7 linked regions of the Sus scrofa genome follow. The protein of the gene in region 5 interacts with the protein of the main gene of each other region in a pairwise test. Links are inferred from orthologs where the notes say so. Each region holds a gene or a part of one and is shown on either strand. Other genes may lie near its edges. The genes, in order: OLIG3, PARVG, CARD9, C6H1orf109, AES, NAB2 and SMAD3.

Region 1 (2,450 bases), on a different chromosome or scaffold from region 5:
TCTCTCCATATTGTCTCTCGAAAAACAACTGTGGAAAGGATAGACCATCATAACTGCATCCATCTCAAGGAAATATTTACATTTGTTTCCCACCAAAGGGATGGCTGTCTTTTCCAAAAGCCAGAGAAAGCCAACTCTAAAGTTCCTTTGCAAGTGTTTACACCGATCCCATCTTTATACAACAAATGCAGTTTTGACAAGAGCATATGGCAGTGAGAAATATTGGCGCGGCATGGAGAAAGGAAGCATGCATGCAAGACACACGACATCTGGTTCGAGTCCCCCTTCGCTACCACCTAGAAATTGCAGTTTGATTTTAGTCCTTTCCCTCCGGGGGTCAAGTGGGATCTGAGAGCTCTCAGACTGTGTGGGAGGCCTCGGGGCCCTGCGCCCGCCCTCCCTCCGGCCGAGCTCTCAGCCACCCTCTTCCCTCCCGGCCTGGCACCTCGACCCCTCCCTCCGCTCGCCCCTCATCCTCCGCAGCCGGCCCGGCCCGCTGCTCACTTGAGCAAGTCCTTGGACTCGGCCGACAGCCGGGCCATGTTGGCGGTGGAGAGAGCGGACAGGTGCGGCGGCGGCGGCATCTGGCAGATGGTGCAGGGGCAGGGCAGCCCGGCCCAGTGCTGGAAGCCGCTGCCCAGCTGCAGCGCGGGTGGCGTGGAGGGTGCCTTGAGGAGCGAGTGGGGAGGCCGGATGGTGCCGATGGCGGGCAGCGAGGCGGCGGACAGCGGTGACGACGCGTTGCCGGACGAGAGCGCGCCGCCCAGGATGGGGTGCACCGGGTGCACGGCGTTGGCGGCGTGCGCCGGATGGCCGGCCGAGTGGCCCACGGTCCCGCAGTGGAAGGCCGAGTGGTGGCCCCCATAGATCTCACCAACCAACCTCTTCATCTCCTCCAGGGAGCTGGTGAGCATGAGGATGTAGTTTCTGGCCAGCAGGAGAGTGGCGATCTTGGAGAGCTTGCGTACCGAGGGCCCGTGCGCATATGGCATGACCTCGCGCAGCCCGTCCATGGCGAGGTTCAGGTCATGCATCCGCTTGCGCTCGCGTCCGTTGATCTTCAACCGCAACTGCTGTAGATCCTGCTCCGACAGCTGCTTCTTGATTTTGTACTTGCTGCTCTCGCCCGCGGCCTTGGCGCCGGCCCGCGAGAGGCTTTCCCCGGGCATCTTCTGCACCATATCGCCCTGCGTGGATGAGACCGAGTTGAGGCGGCTCTCCTGGTGGTGGTGATGGCGGTGGTGGTGGTCCCTCAGATACATCTCGTCCATGTCCGGAGATGAAGCTCTGCTGGAGACAGAGCTCGAATCAGAATTCATTTTATTAGAGGGGACGCGGCCCTACCGTGGGGAGGCTTTAGGCGGGAAATTAAAGAAAATCTTGAATTACAAAAATAAAATTAAAAAAAAGAGCTGCGCAGCCCAGCAACCCACTTCTCAGCGGCAAGACCTGAGAAGAAAAGCTGAGGCACTGCCTTTCCCCGCCTTTCTCCCTCCCCACTCCCCTCTCTCTCTGGTTTGGTGGTTTCCTGGACAGCTAGTTGGTGTGTGCTTGAACTAACCTCACGCTGAAAAAGAGGGGCTTTTATAGAGCTGCAGCGGAGAAAAGAGACAAAAGGAACCCTCCTATCTATCCTAGGCTGGTTAGGATGACGTGCCATCATTCAGGGCGGTGCGCTTTGCTGTCCCATTTAGCAAGGATTCCTATTCATATTCATTGTGGGGCCGCCCAGGGACACCTCTGCTCCGAACCGCTAGGAGCCCCCAGGCACAAAACCCTCTGATTGACACACTCACCGCTCCAGCTCACGCCTTCTGGATTTTTTTTTTTTTAAACTTTCCTTTACCCCCTCCCTAATCTCCCTAATCAAATCACACCTAAAGGAACCGAGGGAAGGGAAGGGAAGGAGGCCAGGCTGTCGGCGGAGATTCCTCTGGGGCTGGAGAGAGGAATGGAAACATTCTCTCTCCTCCCTTCCACAGCCACTCCTAAGTTTTGGAAAATGTGGGCAAAAAGTCTCAATGATTCCATGGTTTCAAGGACAGAGACGCAGATGGAGGGCAGGTTCAAGGGGAGGGGGTCGGGATGGGAGGTGCAGGAGCATGCCTGCCCGTTGCACTGCCCGAAGTTTTTTCTTACTAGGTTTTTTTTCCCCTCAACGCTGGCATTGTGTTCATTTTGTTTACTGGGCCTCCAGTGTGATTTTAACGGGATGTCCATATCTGGTGATGGATATGCCCCTGACACTGTCCTGGGGATGGGTGTCTTGGTTTTTATATGTTCTCTTTCGTTTTGAAAAAATCGTTTCCTGAACGAATTTCAATTTTGCTTAAACCTGGAACTGAGGAAACAACCCAACGCTGGTGTTACAATAAGAGCCACTTGAGAAGGAGAGGAGAGGAAAAGTAGCCGAGGGAGTTAAGGATTGGAAAGGGTCCCAGGACTCCAGA
Region 2 (3,500 bases), on a different chromosome or scaffold from region 5:
AGCTCAGCGGGGCCGGTGCAGAGTCGCTCAGCGGCTGGGTGGCTGGGAGGTCACTTAAGCTTCACCGAGTGGGAAGGGAACAAGGCTTCTTCCCGGCGTGTCCCTGAGAAGGGGAAACGGGCCAGCGAGTGCACAGGACCCGCTGGCAGGAGAAACCAGCAGGGGTCTGCTTCCTCCTGCCCTTGGCCACGCTGGGCTCACCTGGTGGGGCCTCAGCCATTGCGTGTCATCAACCTGCGGTGGGTTGAGCCCTTCCCACCATCCCATTCCCAGTGGATGCCGCAGGGTCCTCAGGGCTGGGGGGATACAGGAGGGGGAACAGGCATCCTATGCTCATCTCTAACCGGCACAACAGCCCCAACAGAGAGTAAAGAAGCTCAGAGAGGGGCAGTGACTTCCCCAAGGGCACACAGCTCACACACGGCAGATCCCGGATTCCAGCCCAGGAAGGGCTGGCTGCCCAGCCTGCAAGCGGAGGTGAACCGAACTGGCCTTGGTGAGGATAAAAAGAGTCAAAGGAGCTAAATCAGCCCCGTACCCTGTGCACAGTAGGTCTTCAGTCATGTTAGACAAGAAAGGGGAATCCTCAACATTCCTGCAAGGAGCTCCCTCTCAGACCAACCCAGAAAGACCTTTGGAGGAGACAGGGGTGGGCCGCCCAGTGGGGAAGCGAGGCAGCAGCCAGTGGCGGGATCGGGGGACCTCCTGCCTGGCAGGCAGAGCCGGGGCCCCTCTGTGGCCCTTGCAACTTTGCAAGGACGAGAAACAGTCTGCCGGTACCAAGAGGCTACCATTCATGGGGCAGAGCCTGCATCCCAAACCCAGGGCTTGCCGCAGGGCCAGGCCTCCACTTGGGGAACAGGGGGAGGAGGGGTTAGGGGAGGGGGGCCCAGAAGTGTGAGCCCACAGGTGGCAAGAGGCCAACTGAAGTCACCAAAGGGGAGTCCAGGAGTGGAAAATGGCCACGTCTGCCTGGAGAAGGATAGAGCTGGGTGTTGGGATCTGGCAGGTCCCTGGCTCATGTATGGCTTCCTTCACCCCCGAGGTGGTACCAAGTTTTGGCCTCAGGCTAGGCGGGCCCCACTCCACTGAGGCCCTCCTAAAGACCCACCCAGCCTAGTGGGAGCCCCTGCTTCTCCCTGGACCCCAGGGCTCTGCAGTTTTCATGTTGCAAAGCAGCCGGGTGTGGGCGGCACTGCTGCCAGGACTGCCCCGGGGGCCTTTCCCTCTGGGAGGCAGGGTGGGGAGCACATTGACGGAGCCACTTCCGGGGTCCTGCTTGCCCAGACGGTCCGGAGCTCAGGCCAACAGCTGGCGAAGCTGGGCACTCAAGGATACAGCCTCACCTGTACACAGTAGGTGCTTGCTAAGCACGGGCGGTATGAGTGAGCACCTCTGCCCCTGCCTCCCGACACTGGGAGGCTGCGGGGTTCTGCGGTCGGGGTGTAGGGTTCAGGCCCGTGCGGCCTCTCGCTGCCGTGGATCAGGTGAGGACGCCCAGTAGCAACTGCGCACCGGATGTTAGGGAACCAGCGTGGTGTCAGGGTCTGGAGACCCCAGTTCTGGGTCTCTCCTGGCCCCCAGTGCCTGTGATATGACCTCAGGACTGCGGACCAGGGCCCCTTCTGACCCCGTCTCTACCTGCTTTGCTGGGCTGTGCAGAAGGCGAAACGAGCTGGCAGAGGCGGGCAAGCTGTGTGAGGGCCAGCGAGCTGGAGGGTCCCTTTGGGCCACGTGTGCTTAGAGGGGCTGGCAGAGTGTGGAGGCCCCTTGCAAGAAGGTCAGGCAGATCTGTCCCTGGCCCCAGGCCGTACCCCAGTCCCCAGGTGGCCTGGCCTCTGCCACTGCCCTGGCCCTTCTCTCACCTGCACTCAGTGAGCTGTTCCACTGACTTCTCCGACTTCAGGCCACTCTTGGTGCTCTAGGGAACAAGGAGAGGGAAGAATGGAATAATACTAGAAAATTCTAGGACCCATGCCTGCCAGTAGAGAAGACACGAGTGGCCAAGACAGTCTCAAGGGACCCAGTTTGCTCTGTCTCAGCCCCTCCTCAAGGCGGCCTCCGGGCAGTCCTTTTCACAGTGGCCAGTGTAACCGTCCTGCCCCTGGGCCACGAGCCCCACAAGGGTGGGGACCATGTCTGCCTCGTTCCCCAGGTATCCCCACTGTCCACCCAGTGCCTGGCTCAAAGGGCATCAGTAGACACGCGCTGTCTGAATAATAAGGAATGAGTGAGTGGGTCATTGAAAAAATGAATGAGTACATGAATGAACGAATGAATGAGTGCGTGAATGAGTGAGTGGGTGGATGAATGAATGAATGAGCGGATGGACGAATGAATGAGAGGGTGGAGGAATGAATGAGTGGGTGGAGGAATGAATGAGTGGATGGAGGAATGAATGAGTGAGCAGGTGAATGAATGAGTGGGTGGATGGATGAATGAGTGAGCAGGTGAATGAATGAGTGAGCAGGTGAATGAATGAGTGAGCGGGTGAATGAATGAGTGAGCGGGTGAATGAATGAGTGAGTGAGCGGGTGAATGAATGAGTGAGTGAGCACGTGAATGAATGAGTGAGCGGGTGAATGAATGAATGCGTGACTACATGGAGGGATGAAGTCACCTCCGCTTTGCCTACTTGTAAGCGAAGCCTAGACCCTGCTTAGCAGAAAATTCATATCAATGGTTTTGAAAAGTGAGAATGAATTGTCCTGAATTGGCTGCACTTGGTGCGTTCTGTCCAGCAGGTCAAAGGGAAGACAGGCTGCTCCCGGGTACCCAGGGGCTGGGGGAGGGGAGACCGGGGATCGGGTGCAGGTGGGCTCTGTTTGTGGTGCTCGGGGTCTGAGAGAGGACACGGGGACTCCTGTGTCATTAGCTCCTGCTGGAGTCCCACACGTGCTGCAGGGAGAGAACCTCGTGGGCAGAGAAAGCCCCAGAAGGCCCCTGGAACCACTGTCACAGCCCTGAGTCCGGGGCTTAGACCATCACAGTCACAAGGGCAGTGGCCCAGGGGTATGAAGGGTTCAGAAAGGCGTGAACAGGTGGTCACTTATGGCCCAAGTGGCAGGGCGGCCGTCAGCCAGGACCTTCATAACACCCAGGCAGGTGCCATCTGCTGAGTAAGGGGGGCTGGCCGGCCCACAGACCTCCTCGTGGACGCTTGGCATCCCTCGCCCACATCTCCACCCCGGCCTCTCCCTGCCGTCCTGGTGGGATTCGACATTTCTCAGGGCTCCCTGGCACCCACTCCATCTCAGCCCGCCCCGTGCAGCACCCCGATCCAGGGCGCGGGGATGCAGCCCCGAGATGCTGGGCCTGCGGGCAGACGCCTCTGGTGCCCGGCTCCTACCTCCATGGTGATCACTTCCACCTGGACGTTGGCTGGCAGGGGCAGGCTGGGCTGGAAGCGCTTGGCCAGGGCCACGAGGAGATGCAGCGTGGCCAGAAGGTCCTTGTTGAAGATGCCTGGGAGGGGAGAGGGCACGAGGTCAGCCCCCTCT
Region 3 (3,998 bases), on a different chromosome or scaffold from region 5:
CCTCGGCCTTCATGAGGCTGTGCTTGAGCCGATCGATCTGCGGGGCCGCCCGTCAGCCCAGCCCGGGGGCCCGCCGCCCGCCCGCCGCCCGCCCGGCCGCCCCGCCGCCAGGCACCTCCAGCTGCAGGTCTCGGTTGCGCATGAGCGCGGTGCCCCTCTCCTCGCTCTGACGGGCCAGGCGCAGGGCCAGGTCGTAGTTCTCGTCCTTGCAGCGCTGGAGCTCGCGGCCGCCGGCCTCGCAGGCCTCCTTGAGCCTCTGCGCGCGCTCCTGGTGCTTGCGCAGCAGGCCGTCCTTCACGCGCAGCTCCTTGATGAGGTCGTCCTTGGAGCCCAGCAGCGCCGTCAGGTCCTGCGCCTTCTTCTGCAGCTTCATCACCTCGCTCATCAGCAGCTGCGTCAGGCCGGACTCCCCAGACGCGTCTGCGGACCGGGCCTCATCAGACGGCGCGCCCAGCAGCCCAGCATCTCGCGCGGCTCCAGGACCGGCGGCCCGGGGAGCCCGGCCCAGGGGTCTGGTCCTGACTCACCTGCAGGCCCCGTCCCCAGCCCCTCCCAGGACGGTGCAGCCAGGGGCTCACGTGTCCCTCCCTCTTTGTCCACTTTGGTCATCTTGATTGAGAGGCGAGGGGACACGACTCAGGACCAGGAGAGCGGCACCTCTCCGGCTGCCGCGGCCTCTCGGGAGCAGGGTTTTAGTGGGGTCAGGTGGTCTTCTGGGCAGGGGGGCTCTGAGCCAAGAATCAGCCTGTGCCTCCCCTCCCCCTGCTCCCGCCCTGGAGTTCAGGTCCCCCTTCCCTCCGGCCCCTGCCCCCTCCCCGGGCTGCAGCAGGAGAGCGGGCGGGCGGGCCCCAGGCGGGCGGTATCCTTCCGCCAGAGCGCATGCACGCTTTATCCGTTAGGGGCCCAGGTCAGGGGGGCGCCCCGGCCCCTGAGTCCGGGCCCTGGGTCCCCAGGCCCGGTGCCCTTCCTCACCAATGATGACGGAGAAGACGCGGGTGGGCTCCTTGCCCGTGACCTTCTTGTAGAGCTGCGGGTAGTAGAGCTCCAGGCTCTCGAGGAAGGCCACGTAGCCCTTGTGGCCGGTGCGTTGCAGGATGTCCAGGAGCACGCCTGCAACCCAGATGGGCCTGGCTGGGGGCCGGGGCGGCCGGCGTCCCCAGGCACGCGTGTGGCCCCTCGAGGCCCCGCGGGGTGGCCGCAGAGTGGGTCTGGGCCAGTCCCCATCGGCCACCCACCTCGTGTGGCTCTCCCAGGGGCCTCTGCTGTGCATGGCGGCGCCCCGGCCGCAGGCAGACAGGTTGGTGATGGGGGGGGCGGGGCGGGGGCCGAGCCGGCCAGGCCTCCCGGGGACAGGGACGAGCGTGGGCAGAGCCCGCCGCCCACGGCACTGACCCACTTTCCGCTTGCGGATGACCAGGCTGGGGTCACTGAGCACCTGCTCCTCGTCGTCGGGGCTCAGGACCTTGCACTGGCGCAGGTAGGGCGTGATGCGGGCGGGGTCGATGACGGAGATGAGCTTCACGCGGAAGCCCTCCAGGCCGCTCCAGCACTCGTCCTCGTTCTCGTAGTCGGACATGGTGCGGGCGGGCGCACTGCTCCGAGAGAGGGCCCGTCAACTGGCCCGCCGCCCTGCCCTGCCCTGCCCCCGCCCTCTGGCCGCTCTGGGCTTCCTCTCCCCCGCCCCCGTCACCCTGGGCCCCTGCCCCACGCTACCCCCCCAGCCTGTGCCCAGGGAGAATCCCCCTCCCCGAGCATTGTGGGCGGGCAGGGAGGCTGCCTCCCTCCCTGGAGGTGAGGGGGCAGCAGGAGCTGTTTGGGCCGAGCGCTGGCACAACCTCCCCGGCAGATGAGGGAGGGGTCCCGGTCCACCCCCGGCCAGCCCGCGCCCGGCTGGGGCGCCCCCCACCTGCGGGCGGCAGGCCATGCCACGCGGGACTTCCTCATTCCCCCGCACATCCACTCCCATCCCTTCCTCTGCTTCCTGTGGCTGGTGATGCAACAGTTGCCCAGCTGGCCCGCTCCGGTCAGGCCCAGGGACGTGGTGCCCTCCAGGAAGCGTGACTGAGAGCAGCCCACCGGAGGGCCCTGGGCACATGGGGAGGGCCCAGCTGTGTCGCCCAGGCAGCCCAGGACGCGGCTGCGCGCCTCCTCCAGGCTCTGGGTGCTGGGCACTAGCTGGCCCCGGGCTCTCCCCATCTCCTCGGCCACAGTGCTGAGCACGGGGATGCTGGCTCCCTGACAGGGGACCATCTACGTGGAAGCTGCTCTCTGCTAGCCCTTCCAGCAGCGGGTGGGCAGGGACCACGCTCTGGGGCGGGCTGAGCAGGAGCAGCCATGTGGCCATGCCTCCTCCTGGGGGAGAGGGGTCGGGGGGCACAGAGACCCCGCCTCAACACCTGGGACTGAGCCTGTAACCTGCCTGGGAAACACCGGCTCCCGGGCCACGGGGGCTGGGGCACGGTCCCAGAGGCCGTGGTATCCCAGAGGCCGTGGCTGTGGGTCCCACCGCCCTCGGCCCGCCCGCCTAGCGACAGGCGCGGCGTCCAGAGGAATCACCAGCACCTTGGTGGCCGGTCTCTGGACCTGGCCTGTTGCGGCCTTTCTAGCCTCAAGTCCACAGCACCCACGCCTGACGATGACCTGCTGTGCATTCCACCGAAGCGACCGTGCCAGGTGGCTGCGAGGGGGACGGGGCAGCAGAGGTGAGGCCGTTTGGTGCCCTTCTGGGGTGTTCACGCCAGATCCCTCTCCCTGTCCCAAGAGTCCTGAGCCACCTGGGCTTGCCGCCGCCTTTCCGAAAGGGCACCAGACCAGCCTACCTTGGGGTCCTCCTGAGGCACCTGTGCAGTGGCCGGTCGCCGGCCAGCCTGGGCCGCCAAGCCGGTGTGTGAGCGGTGGGAGCTGCCGCGGCTGCCGGCCAGGGAGGGTGGGGCGGGAGGGAGCGCACTTCCTGGCGTTAACCCCGCAGGGACCATCCCTGCGGCCGCTGCTGATTCGCCCGAGCAGGGCGGCCTGGGGGGCGGGGGAGGGAAGTGGAAGTGGCTCCCCAGGAAGGCTGCCCAGAGCCCTGCCAGCCAGCGCAGGGCTGGCCGCGGGGCCCAGGGCCCGCCCTGGAGGCCCAGCCCTGACCCTGAGGAGTGGGGAGTGCGAGCCAAGGCTTGACAGAGCTCGAGCCCCTGCTGGCCCACTTTGGTCCCAGGAGGGGGCGGTGTGGTGTCCCAAAACAGGGCCCCGGGCACAGGCGCCCCGCAGCACACTGGCCTGCTGTGGCTGGCACGGCCCCGCCCCTCCTGGGACCACCCCTTCTCCACCAGGACACATGACAGTGACAGCAGCCCCCCACCCCAGCACTTCAGAAGGGCTGCAGAAGGCCGGGCAAAGCCTGGAGCCCAGCCCTGGCTGCCAGCTGCACCCTGGCCAGGTTGGGGAATCCCCAGGCCACCGCGCTGCCCGGGGAGCTTTGCCAGTTGAACCGAGCTGCCAGCTTCAGCTCCGCGAAGGGGCTGCGGCTGGACGGGCTGGATGGGAGCCTGGCCGGTGCTCCCGGCTCCCCCTTCCTGAGGAGCTTCCCTCCCGCCTGGCCAGCTCCCTTCCTGTGGGGTCTCACGCCTCAGGCCGTGTGGGGGCTTCTCTGCCTTCTGCCCAGGATGGTCAGCGGGCCACTTCGCAGAAACCTTGGGCGTCCCGGCACAGACCTGGCACTGCTGGGTTGCGTGGTGGCCTGGCCTTCCGGGGAGCTGACATCACCCTCTGGGCATGGGGAGCCCCCTGCGGGAGCCGCGAAAGCCAGGTGGGGACTTGGTGCAGGAGACTGAGCCACCGCCTCCTACATGCCCAGCAGGCAGGCTGGTACCGGGCCCTCAACGACCCAGTTCCCGTGGCTTAGAGCTCAGGCAGACGTCGTGTGCTCTGGGCGAGGCAGCAGCCACAGAGACGTCGGGACCCTCACTCAGCATTTGGAAATTGAACAAGAAAACTTAGCCCACAGGTCAGAGGAG
Region 4 (3,500 bases), on a different chromosome or scaffold from region 5:
GTCATTTCTTCTTCTTTTTTTTTTTTTATTTTTTGGCCATACCCATGGCATTCGGGAAGTTTCCAGGCTAGGGATCAAACCTATGCCACTGCAGTAACCTGAGCCACAGTAATGACAATGCCTGGTCCTTAATCCACTGAGCCACCAGGGAACTCCAGTTCTTAATTCTCGAGCCACCCCTACCTCCAAGAAACCATCACCCATCTCCTTAGAGAAATGGGTCTCATTTGGAGACAGTTTTTCCCATTGGGAAGTTTGGCACTATCTGGAGACGTTATCGATTGTCACTACTTGGAAAGGGTGGGAACATGATCAGCCCTTGTCAACTAGTGGGTAGAGGCCAGGGATACCACTGAACATCCTATAGTGCAGCCCTCCACCACCAAGAATCATCTGTCCAGAGCAGCCATAGTGCTGAGGCCTTAGGCCTTTCTCATCATGTTGCCTAATATCAGACTCTTTCCCCAGAGCCACCCTCCTCAAGGTGCGTGATGTGGTCAGCAGCCACGTGGAACACGTGCTTCAGACCTATGAGCGGCATGCGGACACAATCGGCCTGGATGCTGTCCTGCAGGCTTCAGCTGCAAGCCCCTCTGTGGCTGAAATGTTGGAGTGGTTGCACGATATCGAGAGACACTATCGAAATTTGTATCCTTTGCACACATTTCAGGTTGTTCCAGAGCTATTCCAGGAAGTCTTTTAAATTTTGGTTTTCACAGGATTACACAACAGTATACAGTGTGGCTCAGTTCTCTTTGGTTCCTGAACTTGGATGCTTCCTACACTCATTTGTGCAGTCACTCCTCAAGTCATTTATTGAGTAGCTGATACCTGCCAGGCATTGTTCTAGGGGCTGGGAGGTAGGCATTAAAAAAGGAAAATATTAACAGGCTGTCAGATTGTGGTAATGCCTTGGAGAAAAACAAAGCAGGGAGTGGGGGAAGCGAGGGGAGCAGGTGGGCTTGTGATTTTAAATAAGATGGTCGGGGCAGGCCTCAGTGAGGAAGCAGGATTTGAGAAAAGACCTGAAGGGAGGGAAAGAACCAGGTGGATATTGGGGGAAAGAGTGTTCCAGGCAGGAGACACACAACGTGCAGAGGCCCTGACGGGAGAGCAAGTCTTGTGTGTTCAGGAAATAGTCAGTGGGGCTCGAGCCGAGTGAAGGGGGGGTGGTTTAACAGGAGATGTGGTCAGAAAGACAGGTCTAGAGTTGGTAGGGCCGCCAGGGTCTTCAGAAGGTTTTGGCTTTTGCTCTGAGTGAGATGGAAAGCTATAGGTTTTGAGTAGAGGGGTAACTTGATCAGATCTATGTTTTCAGCAGTATTACCGGCTGTGTTCTAAGGAGACTTGGGTGGAAGCAGGAAGACCAGTTAGTTGGGGAGTTGTCTTGCCTTTTTCTCTTGATTGTTGCCTGATAACTCACTTCTACCCTCTGGCTGAAGTTTCTACTTTTATTTACTTATTTATTTGGTCTTTTTGCCATTTCTAGGGCCGCTTCTGCGGCATATGGAGGTTCCCAGGCTAGGGGTCTAATATGAGCTACAGCTGCCAGCCTACGCCAGAGCCACGGCAATGTGGGATCCAAGCCGAGTCTGTGACCTACACCACGGCTCACAGCAACGCCGGATCCTTAACCCACTGAGCAAGGCCAGGAATTGAACCTGCAACCTCATGGTTCCTAGTCGGATTTGTTAACCACTGAGCCATGATGGGATCTCCTCTACCTTTATTTAAATCACTCCCAAACCCAATCTTTATTCTTGCCTCTGTTTACCTCTAATTTGGGTTTTTAGTTTCTGCAGAGGCCCCCAGCTGGAATCTCATAGAACTGCAGGCTCACATGGAGAGTTGAAGTCCTCCGTCCAGCCTTCCATTCAGCTCCCTTTTCCTTGAGTTGTAGTGTCAACCCTGTCTGATCATTTAGTCTAGAAACTTCAGCAGCCTTGTCCCCATTTTCCACCCTACTTTCTTTTTTCTCCCCCCCTCCCCACCCCATTTTCTAATGGCAGCAGAAGCAGCAGTGGTGGCAACAGCAGCCTGGGCAGTGGGACAGTAGCTGAGTGCTTATTGTGTGCCAGGTGCTGTCGTTAGAGTGTTTGCAGAGTCAGCTTTCAAGTCCTTGCATTCTGTTGCCTTGGTGCTTCTTGAATTTTCCTTCTCTATCCCCACTGCCTCTACCATAGTTTCTCACTTGGACCTGTAGTCACATGTAGTGACAGGTTTCTCTGTCTTCCTTCCCTCCAAGCCACCCCCAGATAGTGGCCGCATTCCACAGACTTATCCATAAGACAGCTCCTTTCTGATCCTGTTGCTCGTGTAGAAGTTTTCAGTAGCTTCTGCAAAGCCCTTTTGTTGGTCTTTGTGTCCTGGCTCCACCTGTCCTCTCAGCCGCCTTTCCTGCTACTCCACACCTCGCTCCATGCCCGCCGCGCTGGCACGTGTACTGTTCCTGAGTCCATGCTGTGCCTCCCCCCTTCCATGCCTTGGCTTAAGCTTTTCCTACCAGCTGGAACCCTCCTCCAGTCCTCTAAGGGGGATGTGTTCATCCTCTGAGCTTCCACTGAGTTTTTCTTCCCTGTTGTTTAGTCTTTCTTTCCAGTTTCTGTTTTTTCCCCTCACTGCAGTGAGATCCTAGATTGCAGGGTAGTGTTTCCGTCCTTTTCCCTGTAGCCCAGAGCCATGTGTGTGAGGAGGGGCTCAGGAAAGGGCTGTAGCCTAGGTGGGTCCTGCCCACCTGGGAAAGGTAGCGGTTACTGTGCTTTGACTTCGCAGCTCCTGGGAACTCTCTCCAGGCTGTTTTCTCCCTTCGGTGTATTTCATTGTCTTTGGTTTTTCAGTTGTTGTTTTAGTTTTAGCTTTTGGTTTTGGGGTGTGCCCATGGCATGTGGACATTCCTGGGCCAGGGGTTGAACCCGTACTACAGCAGTGACAATGCCGGATTCTTAACCGACTGTGCCACCAGGGACCTCCTATTTCGCTTTCCTCTAGAGCACCTTCCTTAACTCCCTGGAAGCTACCTGAGGAGGAGGCACCTCCTGTCCTCCATCCAGTGGGGAGACCTGGAAAACATTCAAGCTTTGCCCAAAGCCTGGGACCGAATTTCAGAAGCTGAACACCCAGACCTTATACGAGGTACTGATTTTCATTTTGTCCTTCACGTCTCCTCCCCTCCTTTCTTTCTGGGTCTCACCTCTTTGGAAGCATGTGGAGATGCCCTCATGGTGCCTCTGTAGCTTTTACAAATTGGATGTTTTGTGTTTTCTGGAAAGGTCATAGGCCACATTTTTCTCTCTTCCTGTTGCAGATATCCTGTTGAGTGTTTCCTTCTTCCTGGAAGAGTGAAGAAGCTGTGTGTTTATTGGGAGACTGGGGGGAAGAAGACCGATGTTGCTGCTCTCTGAAATGGCAGCATTGCAACCTGACATATGGGAAATATCAGTGCCTTCGAACCTGAGGACTGGTTCTTGGGAGGATTGTGCTAGAGGTTTCTGACAGGGGCT
Region 5 (4,168 bases):
AGAATTTAAATTCATCCAGGAGGCAAAGGTGCATAGTGGATGATGATGATGGTGACAATTAAGAGCCTATGTATTTAGCACTTCCTGGAACTTAATGTGCCTTATTTCTGGTTTCTTGGAGGCCTGCTCTCCACAGGAAAGGGAGAGAGATCCTATCAAAGTCCCCATCAGCCCTGTTTCTCCTCTGCCCACCATCTCACAGGGCTCCCATCTCACTCCGAGCAAGCCCAAATCCTCCCTGAGCCCACAAGGCCCTGCACCATCTGTCCCGCCTCATCACCAGCTACAGAATTTGCAGGCCCCAATGCAAAACAAGACCATTCAAAAATTATTAGGAATTTCCAGACCAACACAGCAGATCATCCACCCAAGCAGAGGCCCTTCTGGAAGCCAGGCCTCTGTGCAAATTCCAGAAGCTGCTAGCCCTGCCCCTCTGCTCCCTTTTCCTCTCAAGCACCCCACCCCCACCTGTGCTAGGCACAGTGCTGCCTCAGTACCTTTGCACTGGCTGTTTCTGCCTCCTAAAATAAGCGACCAACCCCATAGCCTACTGGCTCCCTCTCTCGTCTTCAGATCCGCTTAGCGGCCAAAGAGGTCCATCTGAGTTCCCTCTGTTTAAAATCACATCTTCCCGGCCCTCCCTCCTGCTTTCTTTTCTCTATAGCTGTTACCACCATCTGACCTGCCAGGGACCTGGCTCTTTGGCTGGTCTCTCTGTCTTCTGTCTTCTCCACCAGGGTAGGGACTCTGTACCCCCTCCCACCCCCACCTGGCACACAGTAGGCGCTCCATTAATGTGAGTCAAGGTATGGCTCCCAGGAGGTCGGCGGTATCATCCCCGCCTTTCTACGGAGGAGGAAACCGAGGCTCAGAGAAAAGCCAGTGAGCCAAGGTTACAGAGCATGTCCCTGGCACGCGTCCGGGTCGCGCCATGACAGCGCCGGCGGTTTCGATGGGGGCAGCCGGGCCCCAAGCTTTGACCGATGGGGAAACCGAGGCCCTGGCGGTTGCCGAGGCCACCCGGCCGGGAGGGGCCGCGGCGGGGCGGGGGCGCGCGGGCCCAAGGTCACCGCGCCGGCCGGCCCGGGGGAGGCGGATGGGTGGGGATCCGCGGGCCTCCCCGGGCGCGCGCCCCCCCCTCGGCGGCGCGCACGGGGCCCGGGAAGCAGCAGCGGCGGCGGCGGCGGCGGCGGCGACAGCAGCAGGTGGAGCCGGAGCCTCCGCGCAGCCGAGGCCGCGGCCACTGCCGGCGTCGCCGCCATTAGACAATAGGAGCGGCGGCCGGGCGTGCGGGGAGGCGGGCGGCGGGGAGGGGCGGGGAGGGGCGCCGGGCGCGCAGGAAGCGGGGCCCGGGGCGCGCCGGGGCCGGGCGCGCGGGGAGGGGGCGCAGGAAGCGGGCGAGGCCGGGCGCGGGAGGCGGCGGCGGCGGCCCCGGGAGCTGCCGATCGGCTCCGGGACAAAGGCGCGGCCGCCCGGCGCCCCGAGCAGCCCGAGTCGGGGCGCACAGCCGGGGCGCAGCCTGCGCCCCCCGCCGCGACTGACATGATGTTTCCACAAAGCAGGCATTCGGTAAGCGGGGCCCGTCGGCCCGGCGGCCCCCCCCCCCCCCGTCCGGGCCCGGCACCCCCGGTTCCCAGCCCAGCCACCCCCCCCAGCTCCGGGCCCTGCGTCCCCCTACGTCCTGGCCCGGTATCCCCAGTTCCCAGCCGGGGCTATTCCCTCCCCCAGGTTCGGGCCCTGCGTCCCTCCAGGTCGGGGCCCCGTACCCTCCCATATCCGAACCCAGCGCCCCCTCTAGGTCCAAGCCCTGCGACCCCCTTCCAGGTCCCTGCCAGGCCAACCCCCCGCCTCCAGCTCGGCACCTCCCCCCAACTCCTGGGCCCAGTCCCCTCCAGCTCTGGGCCCAGAGCTGCTCCCCCCCCGCAACCGCCGCCAGCTCCGGGTCCCCCTCCCAGCTTCCGGGCCCAGAGCCCCCCCAGGTCCCCTTTTGCCCCCAGCTCAGAGCACGCCCCAGACCCTGGACCCTGCGCACCCCCACCCCAAGCCAGGCTGGGCCTCGCTGGCCTTGGCCTGGGGCCTGGGGCGCCCCGGGAGCCCCACTAGGCACCTCTAACGCTGGGGCTGCTTTTGGGGCCTGGGAGTGGGGGAGAGTCAAGGCGCACCCCTCCCGGAAGAGCGCGCGGCCTGGAGGAAGGGTGCTAGGAATCTGGGGTGGGCCCCCGCACCCCCGGAAGATTTTGGGCGCTGAGAGCCCCCTCTCCCAAGGGGACTTTGCCAGGAAGCCTGCCCCCGCCTCCCAGCTTTGGGGAGGGGGATTCACTAGGACGCGTTCTCCCCCCTCCCTGAGGCAGTTGGGACGCTCAGACGTGCAACCCCTCCCGGCGCTGTGGAGGCGCGGTAGAGGGCGCACCCTACCCCCCACCAAGGGCGGCCCTTCAAATGCACCCCCACAGCCTGGGGGTGGAGGGGGACGAGCGGCTCCGGGAGCACCCACCCTCCTTAGCTTCTCGGGGAGAGGCGGGGGCAGGAAGCGAGGGCGGGGGCCGAGCCAGGGGCTGTAAACACAGCCAGGGAAGTGGGGCAGGGTGTGGGGGGACGCTGCAGCTGCGCAGGCCGCAGCCTGGTGGAGGGGGGGCGCCCTCAGGGAGGAAGGTGGGTGGCGGCCCCCTCCTGGTCCTGACCCGGGCCGCCCCCTCCCCACAGGGCTCGTCGCACCTACCCCAGCAACTCAAATTCACCACCTCGGACTCCTGCGACCGCATCAAAGATGAGTTTCAGCTCCTGCAGGCTCAGTACCACAGGTGAGCTGAGGGCTGGTGGTCCCTGCCCTGGGTGAAGGTGGAGCCCCCTGCTCAGAAGGCAAGACTGAGGCCTGGAGCTGAAGTTGTGGTCCCTGCTATACACACAGAATGGGGGGAAAAAATCGGTATTGAGTGTCTCATGTGGCAGACCAGGTCTCCAACACTTACGGATATTAAATTCATTTAGTCTTTAGGACAGTCCCATTTCATAGAGGAGAAAACTGAGGCACAAGAATTTAAATAATTTGCCCAAAGACTCAGCCGTCTGGTTTCCAAGCCCCTCTCCCCTCCCCCACCCCCACCCCAGACTGCGTTGGATAAAAGACCTCCCAAGAGCTGGAGTTGGGGGCTGGATCTTCCATCGCCCCACCCACCCCTCAAAAGAAAGTCTATAGCTTGTTATCTCTTTGCCTAGTTTTGGAGAAAAGGTTTCTGGCACCCAGCAGCAAGGCGATGCTCCCTCCAGAATTTAATCTAACATTTCTAAAGGGCTTGCCATGTGCCAGATCTAAGAAAAAGGAACTATTATTATCTTCATTTTACATTTAGGGAAACTTAAACCCAGAGGTGATAGGGGTTTCCTGGGGTTGCCCAGCAGGGAAGTGGCAAAATGAGATTCTCACACTCAGTTTCTGGGTTGAAGACTGCAAAGTCTCAAGCCTTAGCTCCGGAGGGGGTCTTTGCTTGAGAATCAGAAGGGGGTCCATGGCCACAGATACCAGTGGGGTCTTGGGCTTTCTCTGGACCTCAGTTTGGTCACACAAAAGTGTTCTATGAAGGATCCTGAGTTTTCTCCAAGAAGAGATAGGAATAGTGAGATCTGTTTTTCCTTTGGGGGTGTTCCTATCCTCCCCATTTGCCAAATACTGAACATACATCCTTTTATTGAATCTTCCCTGCTTTTTGATCATATGCCCATTTCAAAGTGAGGAAACTGAGGCAAGGTGGTTGAAGGGCAGGCCCGGGAGCTTTGTTCTGGTCCTGTGATGTGGAGGGTTTAGGAGCTTTGCTTGTCAGGCCTGGCCTTTCTGAGCCTCTCCAGGGGTCCTACCCTCCCTACCTGGCCCTTGCTCTCCTCTGATCCAATCTGGCTGGCCGATCTGACTCCAGAGACTGAGGGTCAGGTTGCTGCCTCATGCTGTGTGACCTCAGGTAGGCCAGGCCCCCTCTCTGAGCTTTGGAGTCACGATCCGCTGGGCCTGGGCTTCCTGCTATACAGCGAGGAGTCCTACTGTGTTGGGGACTGGTACAGTATCTGCCAGTCCCTCAGGAAGGGCCAGAAATGCAGTTTGGAATGAAACTGCCTTTTTTTTTTTTTTTTAACAGTGGCAGCAACTGTACATTTTTAAAGAAAATTAGAGAAGCCA
Region 6 (3,650 bases), on a different chromosome or scaffold from region 5:
TGGGCCTTGCTTGTCTGATGGTGAAGGGGAGAGAGGAGGTTTGGGCAAGGTGCTGGGTGAGTTAGGATTCTGACTGCGCTGGCGCCCTCTCCACAGCTGACCATCAATGAGGCTGCTGCCCAGTTCTGCATGAGGGACAACACGCTCTTACTGCGGAGGGTGGAGCTCTTCTCCCTGTCCCGCCAGGTGGCCCGAGAGAGTACCTACCTGTCCTCCTTGAAGGGCTCCAGGTGAGACTCCCTTCTCTAGGTCCTTCCTAGATCAGAATCCTTCCAAGGAGCTGGGTCATGTCTTAATCTCTACTTCAGGTGCCTCTTGGACTGCTTCTCCCCCATCTGTGTGTCCTTGACTTTGGCCAAGTCCACTTATCTGAGGTCTGGCCCCTTCTCCCATCCATTGCAGGCCTCCACTGTGCCCCCCCACTGCCCCCCCCCCCCCAACAATGGTGCCTGAGCTGGAGACTTGCTTAGCCAGCATCTTTTCATACTCTGGAAATAATGCGTGTTCTTCCCCCCCCAGATTCTGTGTCTTGTCCACCACTTGTCCTTCCCCAGCCTCACTCTCCTTGTTCCTCTCCATCTTTGAAGGCTTCACCCCGAAGAATTGGGAGGCCCCCCACTGAAGAAACTGAAACAAGAGGTAGGTTTTCCAGGGTGCATATAGGGGGTTAGGGCAGCCTTCCCTGGTCCCCTCCCTTGCCAGGTTTTCATTTCCCCATTTGGGGCCTCTACAGGTTGGTGAGCAAAGTCACTCTGAAATCCAGCAGCCTCCCTCAGGCCCTGAGTCCTATGCACCCCCATACCGCCCCAGCCTGGAGGAAGACAGTGCCAGCCTGTCCGGGGAGAGCCTGGATGGACACTTGCAGGGTGAGTGTGCCTCGGAACACTTCTCTGGCCACTGGGGAGGGGGGAGCGCAGGGGTAGAAAGCTTGGGAGGAGGGCGCCAGGAGGCAACTCCCTGGAACATGGTTGGGAGGCCTGGCGGGATGGGGGCAAATGGGCCTGGGCCTATGGGTCTGGCTTTGCAGTTGAGGGTGGGGGTTCCGTGGACTGTGGTCCCTTACCTGACCCGTGCCCATGCCCACAGCTGTGGGGTCATGCCCAAGGCTGACGCCGCCCCCTGCTGACCTGCCTCTGGCATTGCCAGCCCATGGGCTGTGGAGCCGCCACATCCTGCAGCAGACACTGATGGATGAGGGGCTGCGGCTAGCCCGCCTCGTCTCCCATGACCGCGTGGGCCGCCTCAGCCCCTGTGTGCCTGCGAAGCCGCCTCTCGCAGGTGAGGCAGCCAGCAGTGCTGTCCCCAACCACCCCTGCCACCCAGGCTCTCCCCCAACACACACAGCAATCCTGGTGTCCTGGGGCCAGGTGGGAGGAAGAGGGATGTAGTCACCAGAGAGGGCAATAAGGATGGTGGAGCTCCAGCCAACCAGGCCTTGGGTTGAGGAGAGGGGAGCCCTTGGAGGGCTGTTCCCAATAGGGAGGGTCTGACCCTAATGGGCATCTCTGAAGGGGGAACTGGGGAGCAGGAAAAGGAGGGTCATCAAGAAGAGAAGCTTGGATAGAACTTTTACCAACACAGGAGGGTGGAGCATTCTAGGAGTAGGGGTGAGGTTGCCAGCTTAGAATTGGACGAGCCCAAAGGGGTATGCTTGGTGCGTGGATGGGGGAAGGGGGAGTGAGGGAGTAGGCCAGCAGAGGGCCGGGCAGCGGCTGGGCTGAGAGTGACGCAGCAGACAAAGCCACCAACCCTGGCTTGGTATTTTTAAACTGTGTGTGGGTGGGAAGTGGGGGCGGGGACTGAAAGAGGGGCTCTTCTTGGGGGAGGAGCTGGGAGGTTGGCTTCCTGTGATCCCCTTGATTTGGCTTCTAAGAAACTGGGGGGGGGGGGCGTGCATGGTAGGGTAGGCAGGGCCTGGGAGGAGGCCAGGGATGAGTGGGGGCGGCAGAGCCTGGGAAGGGGGGAGGGGGAGAGGTCACAGCCAACCCGCCCCCGCAGCTCCTGACAGAACCAGAAATTCCAGCAGAACGGAGGCGGGAGAGACCGAGAAAGAGAGAGACACTTACAAAGACCGAGAGCTACACACTGCTAAGAAGGGGAAGGGGTGCACACACTTGGCTATAGAAACCCCCCCCCCCACATACATGCACTCACCCGCGCGCGCGCGAGGTGGGCTGAGGGCTGTAAATCCGAGCTCAACTTTACAGCCTTCTCTACACCTGCCTTTGTTCTCAACCACCTCTGTCTACAGCGTTCACCTCGCAGCCTCCTAACTGACCCCTTCTCCCCGCAGAGTTCGAGGAGGGGCTGGTAGACCGATGCCCTGCGCCGGGACCCCATCCCGCTCTGGTGGAAGGTCGGAGGAGCAGCGTCAAAGTGGAGGCTGAGGCCAGCCGGCAGTGAGGGCGGGACTGCTGTCCTCAGACCGCGGGGCCTGGGCTCCCGGGTCACACAACCCCTCGACTCCGCGTCCCTGGCACCTAGTCACAGCCCTGGATCCTTCCGCTGCCCTTCTCCTGCCTCCCCACCGGCCCCATGGGCATAGAACTATGGGGCTTCAAGCAATAACGAGCAGGGGCCTGGCGAGAGGACACAAGGAGGGTGCGTGGTGCCCCCCTCACCGTTGCCCAGAGCAAGGGGCAAGGACTCTGCCTCCAGGGCACTTGGGGTTCTCCCCTTCCTTACACAGCACACTCCCATTCTCTAGTTTGAACCAGTGGTGTGAGCAGTTGGACTCGGTTTGGACATGGGGGAAAGGGGGACTATCCTGGGAGGGTCCAGCAACTAAAAGTGGAAACATTTCCCCCCCAGAACTGGGGGCCTGGGAACACTGGACCTGATCCTCCCTCCATTCCCCCATTTTTGTGCTTCTAGTTTGTTTCTTTAATTTAACAAGTGCTGCAGTTTGCCTACCCATCCCCATCCTTCTCCCAAGTCCTCAGCGGTTCTCTCCCTCCTGCCCTCTCTAGGGGGGCATGGGGTCCCCTTCACCAGCCCCCTCAGGAGGCTTGGGTGGACTCAGGGTCTCCCTTAGCTGGGGGCTGGGCCGCAGCACCTGTCTGAGCAGTTAGAGCATCTTTCTTTTCAGATCGTGTACAGTAGATTATTTATTTTGTTATTTTGGAATAAAATTTATTTTATGGCTTAGGATCTATGACCCCCAAGATGGAGAAAGGGTGGCATGGGGCAGGGGAGTGGAGGGAAGCTGGCGGTGGCTGGGGAAATAGAAAAGAAGCAGTGGGTAGGGCCCCCGATACACCCAAAGGACCACACACTTGAGTCTGGACCCCAGACTCTCTACCCCCTGCCTCTGGGCAGGACTGGTGGTGATGAGCCACCAAAACTACAGCCATATGCAGATGTCACAGCCACGAAGACCCCTCTGGGCACAGTTCTCAAAGATGAGTGAGTGCATTTGGGTTCGCATACACCAGAGAGGCCAGCATGCTTGCTGGTATCTTTTGTGCAGTGTCTCACACTTTCAAACGTGTGTTGTCACACAGGCAAAATCAGAGAGGTACATGTTCTATGTGGCTGTACAGCTAACGTGTGTGACATCTATATAGTAACATGTCTCAAGTACACATACTTTTGCACAGCTATACACACAAACTCAGCCTTTGTACTTCTGCATAATCTCATGCACATGT
Region 7 (3,500 bases), on a different chromosome or scaffold from region 5:
AGTGAGCTAAGGATCTGGTGTTGCCGTGAGCTGTGGTGTAGGTCAGATGCGGCTCACATCTGGCATGGCTGTGGTGACAGGCCAGTGGCTACAGCTCTGATTTGACTCCTAGCCTGGGAACTTCCATATGCCATGGGTGCGCCCCCTCCCAAAAAAATGATCAGGAGGCAGAGGCACAGGTGGAAAGACCCAGACCCAAAGGACAAAAACATTTGTTCTCGTTTTGATAATTTCTGACATATTTTAAATAGAGAAAAGTGTAAAGTGAGTGAGTAAACACCTGTGTATGCCATCTAGGATCTTTTAAAAAGTAAAACAAATGGGGAGGCTGTCTGGGAAGGATGAAGGCTCAGCAGCAGGGACTCTTTGCCACTGACTGTGTCACACTTGCTGTGTGGCCTCTGCCCTTCCCTGCCTGTCCGTCAGGGTCTTCCCTGGAACATGAGCACCCTGGCCCAGGCCTGTGGCTTCCAAACTTGTCTTAACTGTAAAATCCTCTCTCCGAATGAATCATCTCTGAAGGCCCAAGATATAATACAAACAAGAGCAGGGCTGCTCTGGGTCATGTGGCCCACTGCCCTACCTGGCTCCCGAGTTTGCCCTGGAGCCCCTTTGGCCACCCTGGGCACATGGAGCAATGTTTCAGAATACCAACCATCTCCATACCATCCCCATGGCTCTTGTAGGTGACTCTGGATCACAACATTGGGAATACTCTTAGCATGATTTTATGAGCAAATAAAGCAACACAGCAAGGCTTCAATCTTCCCTAAACTAAGTGGGCTTTACCGCACGCTGGGTGCTGGAAGACAGAGTGGCAGCAGCAGTGGTACCCAGCAGTGGGCAATACTTGCCTCTCTACCTCTTCTAAGTTCCTAGGATAATCCTGTGTGAAATGAACAAACCAAAGATCATCTTTCCAGGACTATCTACTTACCCACTTATCAGTACTTTAAGGGTATTTCTTTTTTTTTTTTTTTTTGGTCTTTTTAAGGCTGCACCCTCTGCATCCCAGGCTAGGGGGCTCGAATCAGAGCTGTAACCACTGGCCTATGCCACAGTCACAGCCACGCCAGATCCGAGCTGCGTCTGCAACCTACACCATAGCTCACGGCAACTCCAGATCCTTAATCCACTGAGTGAGGCCAGGGATTGAACCTGAGTCCTCAAGGATCCTAGTCGGGTTTGTTAACCACTGAACCACAACGGGTACTCCCCCTTAAGGGTATTTTTATTAAGGAGAATTACACAGTTGCCTTTTTCCAGAAAGTCCAGCATCTTCCCTTGTGGCTTTCAAAGTTTCAAAGATGATATCTGTCTCTGGGTGAGAATGATCAAGCAACCTGAACTCTACCTGTCTGGCCCCTGAATAAGGTGACAGAGAGCTTTTGGGGGAGGGGTGGAGGTGGGGGAGGCCCAGCACAGTGGTGGCGGATTCTGGAGGGGTCTGTGCTGGGCTGGGGATCTGGGGTGTCGTGGGGGAAACTCGACCGCCCCTCACCGATGTGCCTCCGTGTCAGCTCCACAGCCGCATTCCTGTTGACATTGGAGAGCAGCCCCAGGCAGAAGCGCTCCGAGTTGGAGGGGTCGGTGAAGCCGTCCACGGTCATGGACGGTTGCGAGGCGTGGAATGTCTCCCCGACGCGCTGGTTGAGCTCGTAGTAGGAGATGGAGCACCAGAAGGCCGGCTCGCAGTAGGTGACGGGCTGCAGGTCTGAGGAGACAGGCCAGCCCCTGGGTCAGTGGCGCCCCAGGCCCCGTGCCCCTGGACGGGGTCTGCCGGCTGCTCTGGAAGACTGTTCCCCACCTCTCAGAGGGCATTATAATCTCCCCACCCTCGTACCTTTTACTGGATAAAACCTGCAGGAGCAGCCAGCGGGACAAAATACTCAGGTGGCAGGAGAAGCACTTTTCATTTAGCTTTAGCTTCCAAAGGCCCTGCCCCGCCTGGCCTGGCCTCAGGTTGAAGCCGTCTTCAGGGAGGTGCTAGGCCAAGCCCCTGGACAGACACACTGGACAGGCTGGGTGTGCCTATCGCGGGCAGGCCACGCCACCTGCCTCTCTTCCTAGGTCCCCGAGGTAACCCATGCTGATCTCCGCCCCTCCAAAGCTAACTCCTGTCGAGCAGCAGCATCCAAGCCTGTGAAACGATAAGGCTGCTGCAGCCCTGGGGTCTGCGCTGCGCTTGGTGTCCAAGACCACACAGGCGCCAGGCACCATCTGCAGAGTAAACCCGGTTCCTGCCTCTTGTTATAGAAACTATCCTCCAAGTGTATCCAGATGTTGAGCAACCAGGAGGCTAACACACAAACTCACCTAAAAGAAACTCTGAACTTCTAGAGGTCATCCTGTGGTCTCAGTCAAGGGCACCTCAGAGTAACTGCCGTCCTGGGAGGGGGCAGTTCTGTTTCTCAGAAGAGGTGGGAACTCCTGAAGTAGAGGTTTCCCCTCACACGAAGCCACACCTCCCTTTCCAGGGACGCCCTAGCCTTCCTGTCACCTCCAGTTGTTCTGGGCTCCACACCTGCCCAGGTACCCCTGCCTGTCTCTGTGTCACTTCTCACCTCAGGGTCCCTCCTCGTCATTCTTCACTTGCACTAGTGCCACGGCCCTCTGACAGGGCTCCCCAGCACCCAGCCCAGCCCTTCCAGCTTCTTCTCTGCCCTGTCCTGCTCCCGGGGCCACGTCCTTCCCCTGTGCCTCCTCGAATCCCCCTATTTGTTGGTGAATCAGAGTCTGCTGCTCTCATTCTGGTCTTAGCCCTCTGGCCTGCACCACGTACTCTGGCTCTTACATATACATAGAGAGTTGCGTATATGGTTACTCAGGCGTGTCTCTGGAAGCTGGTGAGAGGATGGGAGAGCTCGCCATGCCAAGTCAGCACTGGCCCGAGACCCGTGTCACCGCCGGCCAGGCAACTTCCTAGAGCGAGAACCCATGAGAACTTAAGCTCAGCTCACCAGACCTCACAAAGTGTATAAAAGCCCAGGAAAGAATAAAGCAGAAGCTATTCCAGGAGGGGCCTGGGTTCCCCTGCAGGGCAAAATGGCCCTGATCTCCTTCTGGGGTCTACGCCCATGATCCCATCTAAGAGCAAAGAGAAGGCTGGCTCACAGGGGAAGGGCTGCGGACCGGTGACACCCCTGCACTCAACATGCTGTGAAGAGTTGGCTGGAGGGTGAGGGCACTTGGATCAGGTCTCGGCCTTGGCAAATTTGGGGCACGATAATTCTTTCCTTGGGTGGGGGGATCCTGCGTGCTCTGGGATGTGCAACAGCAGCATCCTAAGCCTCTGCCTACTTGATGCCAGCAACATACATCCATCTCACCCTCCCAGCTGTGACTGTAAGAAACTTCTCCAGACACTGAGAGACGTCTTCTGGGGGCAAAATAGGCCGCAGTTGAAAATCACTGTCCTGGGTGTTTGACCAGCTCAGGGAGCACAAGCTTCAAGGCTGGACAGACTTGTGTTCACATTCGGCTTTGGCACGGACCTGCTG

What was found.
Region 1: the proteins of AES (region 5) and OLIG3 interact in binary tests that used the Homo sapiens proteins (3 or more experiments, as listed by UniProt). The two-hybrid records come from large-scale screens. The link is inferred for Sus scrofa from reciprocal best matches to the Homo sapiens genes TLE5 and OLIG3.
Region 2: the proteins of AES (region 5) and PARVG interact in binary tests that used the Homo sapiens proteins (3 or more experiments, as listed by UniProt). The two-hybrid records come from large-scale screens. The link is inferred for Sus scrofa from reciprocal best matches to the Homo sapiens genes TLE5 and PARVG.
Region 3: the proteins of AES (region 5) and CARD9 interact in binary tests that used the Homo sapiens proteins (3 or more experiments, as listed by UniProt). The two-hybrid records come from large-scale screens. The link is inferred for Sus scrofa from reciprocal best matches to the Homo sapiens genes TLE5 and CARD9.
Region 4: the proteins of AES (region 5) and C6H1orf109 interact in binary tests that used the Homo sapiens proteins (3 or more experiments, as listed by UniProt). The two-hybrid records come from large-scale screens. The link is inferred for Sus scrofa from reciprocal best matches to the Homo sapiens genes TLE5 and AIRIM.
Region 6: the proteins of AES (region 5) and NAB2 interact in binary tests that used the Homo sapiens proteins (3 or more experiments, as listed by UniProt). The two-hybrid records come from large-scale screens. The link is inferred for Sus scrofa from reciprocal best matches to the Homo sapiens genes TLE5 and NAB2.
Region 7: the proteins of AES (region 5) and SMAD3 interact in binary tests that used the Homo sapiens proteins (3 or more experiments, as listed by UniProt). The two-hybrid records come from large-scale screens. The link is inferred for Sus scrofa from reciprocal best matches to the Homo sapiens genes TLE5 and SMAD3.

The regions. Positions count from the first base shown.
Region 1 is NC_010443.5:26,799,540-26,801,989, reverse strand, and holds OLIG3 (oligodendrocyte transcription factor 3), read right to left. Parts: upstream 1,320-2,450; coding exon 501-1,319; downstream 1-500. UniProt on the Homo sapiens protein: May determine the distinct specification program of class A neurons in the dorsal part of the spinal cord and suppress specification of class B neurons.
Region 2 is NC_010447.5:4,888,467-4,891,966, forward strand, and holds part of PARVG (gamma-parvin), read right to left. Parts: intron 3,466-3,500; coding exon 3,350-3,465; intron 1,922-3,349; coding exon 1,866-1,921; intron 1-1,865. UniProt on the Homo sapiens protein: Plays a role with ILK in promoting the cell adhesion and spreading of leukocytes.
Region 3 is NW_018084833.1:1,342,235-1,346,232, reverse strand, and holds the start of CARD9 (caspase recruitment domain-containing protein 9), read right to left. Parts: upstream 2,801-3,998; 5' UTR 2,251-2,800; coding exon 1,907-2,250; intron 1,593-1,906; coding exon 1,393-1,592; intron 1,111-1,392; coding exon 973-1,110; intron 421-972; coding exon 116-420; intron 38-115; coding exon 1-37. UniProt on the Homo sapiens protein: Adapter protein that plays a key role in innate immune response against fungi by forming signaling complexes downstream of C-type lectin receptors.
Region 4 is NC_010448.4:93,744,097-93,747,596, reverse strand, and holds part of C6H1orf109 (uncharacterized protein C1orf109 homolog), read left to right. Parts: intron 1-468; coding exon 469-648; intron 649-3,013; coding exon 3,014-3,132; intron 3,133-3,304; coding exon 3,305-3,342; 3' UTR 3,343-3,500. UniProt on the Homo sapiens protein: Part of the 55LCC heterohexameric ATPase complex which is chromatin-associated and promotes replisome proteostasis to maintain replication fork progression and genome stability.
Region 5 is NC_010444.4:75,490,840-75,495,007, forward strand, and holds the start of AES (amino-terminal enhancer of split), read left to right. Parts: upstream 1-1,368; 5' UTR 1,369-1,542; coding exon 1,543-1,569; intron 1,570-2,703; coding exon 2,704-2,801; intron 2,802-4,168. UniProt on the Homo sapiens protein: Transcriptional corepressor. Acts as a dominant repressor towards other family members. Inhibits NF-kappa-B-regulated gene expression. May be required for the initiation and maintenance of the differentiated state.
Region 6 is NC_010447.5:22,403,275-22,406,924, forward strand, and holds the end of NAB2 (NGFI-A-binding protein 2), read left to right. Parts: intron 1-96; coding exon 97-230; intron 231-587; coding exon 588-639; intron 640-733; coding exon 734-866; intron 867-1,086; coding exon 1,087-1,278; intron 1,279-2,293; coding exon 2,294-2,403; 3' UTR 2,404-3,150; downstream 3,151-3,650. UniProt on the Homo sapiens protein: Acts as a transcriptional repressor for zinc finger transcription factors EGR1 and EGR2. Isoform 2 lacks repression ability.
Region 7 is NC_010443.5:165,109,957-165,113,456, reverse strand, and holds part of SMAD3 (mothers against decapentaplegic homolog 3), read right to left. Parts: intron 1,715-3,500; coding exon 1,502-1,714; intron 1-1,501. UniProt on the Homo sapiens protein: Receptor-regulated SMAD (R-SMAD) that is an intracellular signal transducer and transcriptional modulator activated by TGF-beta (transforming growth factor) and activin type 1 receptor kinases.